Linked DNA regions of Mus musculus. The protein of the gene in region 2 purifies or fractionates together with the protein of the main gene of each other region. This does not show direct contact. Links are inferred from orthologs where the notes say so. Each region holds a gene or a part of one and is shown on either strand. Other genes may lie near its edges.

Evidence for each region.
Region 1: the proteins of Cd19 (region 2) and Cd81 purify together in Homo sapiens (affinity purification with western blotting, with the first as the bait; 3 studies listed by BioGRID). This does not show direct contact. The link is inferred for Mus musculus from reciprocal best matches to the Homo sapiens genes CD19 and CD81.

What each region holds. Positions count from the first base shown.
Region 1 is NC_000073.6:143,051,122-143,055,666, reverse strand, and holds the start of Cd81 (CD81 antigen), read right to left. Parts: upstream 2,918-4,545; 5' UTR 2,667-2,917; coding exon 2,601-2,666; exon of another isoform or gene 1,981-2,600; intron 1-1,980. UniProt on the Homo sapiens protein: Structural component of specialized membrane microdomains known as tetraspanin-enriched microdomains (TERMs), which act as platforms for receptor clustering and signaling.
Region 2 is NC_000073.6:126,407,810-126,412,035, reverse strand, and holds the end of Cd19 (B-lymphocyte antigen CD19 isoform 1 precursor), read left to right. Parts: intron 1-205; coding exon 206-254; intron 255-506; coding exon 507-595; intron 596-915; coding exon 916-1,017; intron 1,018-1,137; coding exon 1,138-1,239; intron 1,240-1,327; coding exon 1,328-1,396; intron 1,397-1,494; coding exon 1,495-1,551; intron 1,552-1,642; coding exon 1,643-1,699; intron 1,700-2,365; coding exon 2,366-2,452; intron 2,453-2,572; coding exon 2,573-2,664; 3' UTR 2,665-2,679; intron 2,680-2,845; 3' UTR 2,846-3,588; downstream 3,589-4,226. UniProt on the Homo sapiens protein: Functions as a coreceptor for the B-cell antigen receptor complex (BCR) on B-lymphocytes. Decreases the threshold for activation of downstream signaling pathways and for triggering B-cell responses to antigens.

The DNA.
Region 1 (4,545 bases), about 17 Mb from region 2:
GACTATTGCCAGAGGAGACTGGACCCTTAATCCCAGACCTGTCTCAGGGGATGAGTAACCACCCTGCTTCTAAGAGCATCTTACATGGTCTCTGCTGCTCACCGCTCATCTTTCAGGTTTGTGTCCTGCCCCATATATCTTGGGAGTCCAGAACTCTGCTGGCCCCAATATAGGTTCTGAACTCAAGCCCAAGGAGGACTGGTGGGAGTGACAGCAGGCAGGTTAGTGTGCCCGGAATGTCCCCTCCCACAGAGAAACCACTTTAATCTTCAAACTGGAAATTTTAAAAAGTGTCCATCGAAACATTTACTGTCAACCAAATCTCCCTTCTTAGAGCTCTTAGCCCCCGCCCCCACCACGGCCCAAAGGACCTCTCAGCCCCCTCCTTAGGCCCTTCTGACATCATTGCTCAGCTTCCTTTGGCCCCACTCCCTTTTGGAGACTGTGTCCAGTGTCCATTTCCTGAGCCTTCTCTGCTCCAAGCCCCTTGCCCCACTCTGGAGTACATTAGCTAGTCTACACACAATCCTAGGAGACAGAGACCCCCAAGAACTCCCACTTTAGAGGGAGGAAGTGAAGACTAAGGGCCAGAGTGGTGGGGTGGGGCTCCCCAAAGGTTCAATTTCATGATATCAGGGAACTATCAGCCACAGTACAAACCTTGCCACACGAGGGACAAAAGGAGTCCCTCTGCCAGGGTGGTGTCCACCAGTTGTAGCCTGGTTCTGCTCCACATCCCTATCCACTGTGGGGCCAACATGAGTAGGGAGGAGAGGTCTGTGGGATTGTGAAAGGCTACAGTTTTCACTGTTCTGCAGTCAGTAGGCAGGTCCCTGGGAGCAGGGAGAGGCTTCAGAACCGTTTCCTGGAGCCTCAATAGAGACCCCAGGGACATGTTGGGACTCCACCCCAGCTGCCTGGGAAACGAGCAGCTTCACCCAGCCTCAGCACTCCAGGGAGTCTGAGGGTCTAGCGCTTGGATCAGGTGGGTGAGCAAAAAAAGAAAAAAAAGAAAGAAAGAAATACCCTACAGGATCCTGACATCCCACATCTGAAGAATAATGGGGGTGGGGTGGGGTGGATAACACACTTCTTGAGGGTGCATTCAATTCCTTGCATGGTTCAGAGTAGGCAAGCACTGTCCAACATGACTACCCAGTCGAGACCCCAAGGCATGCCCGGGCAGAGCAAGTTTAACCCCATCGCCCATGCTGCTCCCTAGAATGTGTTCTCTGGAGTCACCGTGACTGACAATCTTGGTCCCTGCAGCACCGCGTGAGCATACATAGCCCCAGCTGAGTTCAGCCCAGTTCCTGCCCATCCCCAACGTCTTATTCCCCTCCACCCCACCCTGACCCGCCCTGGGATCTTCAGCAGTCCTCGATGGAAAACAGGTGTCCCCTGTCCAACACACTCACTCCAGGGGCCGTTGTACAAGTTTGCCCTCTCAGGAACAACTTTAGAGAAACATTGTCTTGGCATAACCTCATTTCTTCCTGGGAAGGAGGGTGGTGGGAACAGCAGTCTGTGCACTGCAGCAGGGAGGGTGGCACCACTGTCCAGAGGAGTGGCCAGCACTGCTCACTCAAGTGCCCGCAGGCAGGTCTGTTAAGACTCCCCATTCCCAACCCAGTTAGGAAATGGAAAGAAGCCCATACCACCAATGGCTACTCCCCAGCAGTGAAGACAGTCAGGACCCAGGGACACTTGGAGACCCTCTTATACCCATGTCTCCTTTCCAAGATGACCAAATGGGTGTGCACTTCTTTCCAAAGTGGAGAGCCCAGCTTAGATCCTGTATATAGGAAAAGATCCTAAGCTCCTGGTTTGTACAGATCCCAGATCTTTGCAACACCCTGGCCTTCACCAACTCAGAACTGCATACCCTCTTCCTCTCAGGATCTAAGGGTCAGGCCGGGGCTGTAATCTGTGCAGGAGACGACAGGCAAGGAGGAGGGGCAGCTGGGGGAATGGGGGTGGGGGTGGCCAAGAACTGGGGCACCGTGCGCAGCAGCACGCGGCCCGGGCTGCCCTGCCTTCTAGGCCTGGAGCTCGAGCCCCCAGGGTGGCAATACCAAGCTGGAGGGTAAGCAAGGGTGGAGTAATAGTGGGGTTGAGGTCTCCGAGGCAAGTACGGAGCGTGCCCCCACCACTTCGAGGCCGCCTATCCAGGGGCGGTGGCTAGGATGAGCTCATGGGGGCGGGGCGCCAAGATCCCGCCCTTCTCGACCCCCCTCACTGCTCGCGATGCAGGATGGTCCCCAAAACAACATTCAGGAGGGTGCGAGTACCCCCTTCATAGCTGAGGGCTCTTGATTACCTGGCTCTAGCCCGCAGACTCTTGCACCAGTTCCCAGCACTCAGAGGGGACAGGCCAGCGATCCCCTGATTTCCCGGCCCCAGAAGCCCCTCGAGCCGAGGCCCAGAAGCTCAGCCCTCGGCCTCAACCCGCTGGCGAGGGGCGCCAGGACCCCGATCGGCGCACGGAGCCCACAGGTGGCGCCGCAACTTCGCGGTTGCGCTGCGCCTTCTCAGCAGGGCCTAGCGCGCTGCCCAGCCTGGCTACCGTGGGGTGCGCCCTGTCCCCAGTGGCTGCTCACCCAGAAGACGAAATTGAAGACGAAGAGCAGGTATTTGATGCATTTGGTGCAGCCCTCCACCCCCATGGCGGTGCGCGGCCTGCGGAGCTTGGATTGGTCCTGGAGCGGGCGGTATGGGGACGCAGTACCGGGGTCCGGGACTGGCAGATAGCCTGGAGCGCTTGCGGGCCGGAGAACTGCGTTGCGGAGAATGAGACGTAGGGTAGAGAAGGGCTGGAGGCCTAGCCGGAGGCGCGAGAGTCACTATCTCTTTGAAGCAAGGACGCGCTCGCTCGGACCGGGCGCGCGCGCCTAGCTCCTCACTCTTTATAGACCTCTAGGTCCCGCCCCTCCGAGGCCCCGCCCAGAGGACGCTCCACCCCTGGCCCCGCCTTCCGCCCGCGGGGTGCCCGGACCAGGGGTACTTGGGTGGGTGCTGCCACCTCAGTCCCAGAGTAAGCGTTCTGGAACTTGGTGCAGCTGGTTCTTGGGGACTCGGTGCACTGTGCGTGCGCAGGATGAATCTCCAAGTTTCTTAAGGGTTCCCAACCCTCGGGGCAGGCTTCTGGGTCGCGACTAAGAACTGGCCACAAGATACTGCCCCAAAGAAGCCACACTTACTTCCTCCGGTACTCGGACGCCTTGGACTTTCCCGGAGGGTACCCTAGTGGAGGTGTCTCGACAGTAAAGAGTCTTAAAAGTTAACATGTTTTGTGTATATTGATCTCCCAGGCAGCAACTCCGTGGGCCTGAAGGTCTAGAATGGAATTCTTTGTAGCCTTGCTAATCCCCTATCTCACAGATAGAGTTCCTGGCTGCAGTTCTGGAGGCTGCATTTGGGAAGGTCAATAGTGTACCCAATGTCTTTAGCCAGTCTTTAGGCTCGAGAACCCTCAGGGGCACCTTCAAATATTCATGCCATCCTGGCTGTGCCTTCCAAGAGTCCATCCTCCATCCTCTAGCTGGTTCCCTGAAAGCTGGGATTAATAAGGAAGTGAGGAAAGATTCAGAGGGCAGAGGTGCTTCCTTCCCGGGTGAGGAATGGCTGCTGTCATCATAGATGATATTCCTGTGAAATCTTGGCATTCCCTTCCCCAAACTGAAGGGCAATGGGGCTGCTTCATTAGACTCACTGGGAACCATGGAAGGACCAGTTCCCAAGACTCAGCCTTTTCCAGGTCACTCCATGTTCTTAAATCTTTGAGCAGTTAAGGACATTGTTCCCTATGGAGATCACACCTGGCACCCCTCTGGCTACAGGACACTGGAAATATGTTTAAAAAGGAATAGATATACATATATATTTAAACAAAGGAAAGGAATATCTATAATATATATGTGGAGAGAGAGACAGACAGACAGAGACAGACAGACAGACAGAGAATGAGAATCTCACAATGTAGCCCTGGTTCCTGGAACAGAGCTCTGTCTACTTTTGCTTCCTAAGTGCTGAGACTGTAGGTTTAGGACACCATGCCCAGTTGTCTAAAGGGCGAAAATTTGAACTATGTATAATTTACATGTAAACCTGATGATTGGCCAGTAGCTGCCTGGGTGGAGCTATCTCTACTCGGCTAGGCTAGTAGGCTTCTTGAGAGTTAATTTGTGCATTTGTTTTGGCTTCAGGCTGGTATAGCTGCTACAGTGAAGGATTGTGTCCACATTTATAGTTCTTGGAGGCTGAAGTGGTGTCACAACAAAAGTAACACTAGTCACCAAATGCTGGAGTAATATCACACTAAAAGTCATTTGAGTCTCCAGGAGGGAGTCTCTTAGGATTCTTTTTATTTAAAAGTGGGCAAGAATAGTTCTTGCACGTGCAGAGATGGGGACCTGCTTTCTCTTCAGATCTCCACTGTCTCCAGTGATGGGGATACCTCATGCCTAAAGTGGGGTTACACATTGAACGTCATGCAGGGCCAGCTGTTTTGTTTATGTACTGTGTGATACATCTGGGTTTAGTGAA
Region 2 (4,226 bases):
CCATCTTTCTTAGGACAAGCCCATACTGGCCAATCTAATGCACCCCACAGCCTCATCCCTCCTTTACTGTCTCTCATACTTCCTGGGGTCCCTGGTATTTGTACAACCATCCCCTCTATTGACCCAAGTGACCTCCCCCGTGTCCCCCAAATTCACCTCCTGCCTGCCAACCCCTCTCCTGATCCATCTCTTTAAATCCCACCAGCCTTTATCCTGAGAAGGAAAAGGAAGCGAATGACTGACCCCGCCAGGAGGTAAAGTAGCAAATGCCCGCCCTTCCGCTATAAGCTTTACACTGTCCTCTGTCACGTGGGGTGGGCCTTGGTGCCATCTCTCTTGGTTGAAATACTGCCCAAGTCTGGAAGCCACCTTCAAAATCACCTCCCTTGGCATGGTCCCAAACTCTTTGGGTAGGCATCCCTACACACTTAACTCCCAGAATAGACTGCAGCTGGGCATCCCTACATGGTTGAGCCTTAAGGTACACCAACCCTTTCTCCCTCCAGATTCTTCAAAGTGACGCCTCCCTCGGGAAACGGGACCCAGAACCAGTACGGGAATGTGCTCTCCCTTCCTACATCTACCTCTGGCCAGGGTGAGGGACCACTGCCTTGAAAGGCTTTCAAGTCGCACCCTTCTCTCCGGCACTAGCCAGCTATGCCTTGTCCTCATTTCTCCAATCTTCTCAGAGCAGAACCTTCCCCAGAGCAGAGCCCAGGACCAAATCTCAACAGATCAGCCAAGTCTAGCCACTGGACCTTGGCCAGAGCCAGCCTTGTCCTAGAACTTGAGGCCAAGGCTCAGATTTTGATCCCTTCCCCATGGCTCAAGGCCGGTTATGCAGGCACACAGAGGCTTTCTGAAGCATTGTCTCCTTTCCCTCTGATGGGCATCTTAAATCTCTCTTTTCACCAGCCCATGCTCAGCGTTGGGCTGCTGGCCTAGGGAGTGTCCCTGGGTCCTATGGAAATCCACGCATTCAAGTCCAGGATACTGGAGCTCAGAGCCATGAAACAGGTCAGATTTAAGGGTTGTTCCTCACCTTGAGAGTGTCGGAGCAGCCTGTGGTGGGATTAGTGGACTGTGGGTGGAGGAAGAGAGATACCGCTCAGCTCTCCACACTGGTCCCAAATTCAGGACTGGAAGAAGAAGGGGAGGCCTATGAAGAGCCAGACAGCGAGGAGGGCTCTGAATTCTATGAGAACGACTCCAACCTTGGGCAGGACCAGGTTTCCCAGGGTGAGTCCCCATTCTCCCTGGTCCTGACACTTCAACAGTAGGCTGATGGCTGACAACCTTTGCTAAAGATGCCCTCATTCTCTAACAGATGGGAGTGGCTATGAGAACCCCGAGGATGAGCCCATGGGTCCAGAGGAAGAAGACTCCTTCTCCAATGGTAATGTGGTGTCCTTGTAGGGTTGGTGGCTAGGAAAACGTGCTTGGTGCTGCAGGGCTCCTACTGCCTGAGCAACTCCTGCGCTCTCTCTTCCACAGCTGAGTCTTATGAAAATGCAGATGAGGAGCTGGCCCAACCAGTTGGCAGGATGATGGGTGTGTATTTGAGTGAGCGAGGGCTGTCACTCTTGGAAGAAGCTGGAGACCAGGAAAAAAAGTGATATCTTTGTCTCTTTTCTTGTTCCAGACTTCCTGAGCCCCCATGGGTCTGCGTGGGACCCCAGCCGGGAAGCATCCTCGCTTGGTGAGAGTGCTTAGGGCATCCTTCTAGGGTCAATTTCAGATGATATAAACTCAGCTCTGATCTCCAAGTCCAAGCCTAACAGTGGTCTTAGACCTTATTCCCAACTCCACCTCTATCCCGTTTCCCCGTGTTTCTGCCATTTCTAACCTTGAAGACCAATCTTGACCCAAAATGAACCTGACATAACTGTTCATGTCTAGAATTCCAACTTGTGGGAAAGTTAAGGCAGAAAGATGGTCATGGGCTTAAGGCTAGTCTGGGGTACTTTGTGAATTCCAGGCTAGCCTAGGCTGAAGCTTTGTAACAAAAAATGTAACGAAACACACTCAGCCAACCGACTGAAGCATTGACCTCAATACCTTCTCTCTTAGAGTTTGGCCTTCACCTCACCCCAGTTTAAAGTGGACTTCAACCTTGACCCCAACTGTCTGTATCATTTCCTGTGAGCTTGACTTTGACTCCTCCCAATTCTGTTCTTGACCCTTCCTTTGGCCTTGGCCATCTTAGAACCAAGTAGGATCTTGATGCTGACAAATCAGTCCTAGTTTGACATTAGGAACTTCGACTTCTTGCCTAGCTCCTCTCCCGTGGGTAGGCAGGACTTCCCTTCCCCCAAGCCCCAGCAGAATTTCTGGGTCTCTAATCTTCCATCCCATGCCTAAACAGGGTCCCAGTCCTATGAAGATATGAGAGGGATCCTCTATGCAGCTCCTCAGCTCCACTCAATTCAGTCCGGTCCCAGTCATGAAGAAGGTGGGTGTTTCTGCACTGTTTCTCGTTGTCCTCTGGACACCCCCCTCCCCCTCCCTCCCCCACTCTACCCCAGCATCCTTTTCATCCAATTTACACTTTCCTTTTCCTGGTCTTATCCAGATGCAGACTCTTATGAAAACATGGATAAGTCTGACGACCTAGAACCAGCATGGGAAGGAGAGGGCCACATGGGGACTTGGGGAACCACGTGACTCCCAAGTGACTAGGTGAGCTGGACGCTGCCCCTGGGAGAGGGGAGGAAGAGAGGGATAAATGAGGATGGTAATGCAGCCCTGGCTGCTGGGGAGAGAAAGGGGAAGGGTTTTCTGGGTCCAGTGGATAGGGCCTAGACGTCATCTCATACTTTGCTTGTTTGTTTGTTTTTTTATGTAGCCTGGACTTCGTTAGGTCCCAAGAACCACATCTGATTCTGAAATCTGGAGATCCCAGATGGTGTCAGTCAGTGAAATGACCTTGATCAGGATGTGTGCATGCTGACACACACACACTCATATGCATGTTCAAGCAAAGCTTCCTTTTGACCCTTTGCTTTCCCCAAATAAACCCAATTAGCCACTCAAATTCTCTGAAGCCGGCCCTTGTGTGGGATAGGAAGGGAAGATGGGGTTGAATCCAGCCCTGAGTCACCCAGAGGAAGGAGAACTGAGGTCTGAGTACATCCTGGCTCTAGCCTTCCCATGGCCTGGCATTTAGCCACCTAACATCCAGTGATGCAAATATGTCCAGCCGCTACATTCCATGGTGTCCCACAAGGGAGAGACAGTGATGGGACTAGCAGACTGTTTGGTTGTAACCCATCCCTGCTCACCCTGCACAAACTGGGAAACACTGTCTGCCTCTCTTTTAATCCTGCCTGCTCCAGGCTAACAGGCCAGTACCCTCACCTTCGAGTTTCTGGCAACACTACCTGAGTGCCTGCTCAGGGGGTTCAGCTTCTGACCATATGTAGACACCACCCCAGCTCTGAGTTTACACATCATCACCCCTTGCCTAAGACCTGAAACCCCCCTTTACCTTCGCCCAGGTGTGCCATTTCCCTGCTCCCTCCTGCATCCTTGGGACCTGTGAACCTACTCAAGTGCTGCTCTCAATAAATCTGCCTTTATACTTTCTAATTCGGCTTGAATTGGCTTGTTTCTTTGGATGCTGAGAACCTGGGAGGAATTGAGCCTAAAGCCCCTTGTGCTGGGCCCCTGGCCTTCTGGGAACTGCTCCCTTCCCCTCTTCTCATTCGTTTTCCAAGCCCCACATGCCACTTCCCTGAATTCTTGTAGGATGATTTTTCTCAAATTCTTTCCTGGTCGTGCCCATCTCCCCGATGCCTTTACTGGACTGTGATATCCTTAGCCGCTTTGGGACCACAGAAAGGACTCCATAATCCCTGGATCCCATAATCTCTCCTGACTCCCATCTTCGTCTTCCTCTGGTTGCCTCACAGGTCACCACCTGAGACTGTGCTGTCCTCACCCTACCAGATCTTGTCAACCCCCAAGTATGGGATATTTCCACCCCGGTGGTTGCTACTTACCCCGAGACGGTCCTGGTCCACCTCAAGGACCCCTCATCCTTCCATCCTAGCTTCCCATTTCTGAAACCCATCGCTGCAGTCTCAAGCCCATCACTAGCTGCCTCCTGTCTCAGGAACTTCTAATGCAGCACTCCCATTCTCCCAGTGAATAAGCCTAACACCTAGTACAGAATCTTTACCTCGTTACTGAAGTAGTAATCCCAACCCACCCATGGTTACCAACTC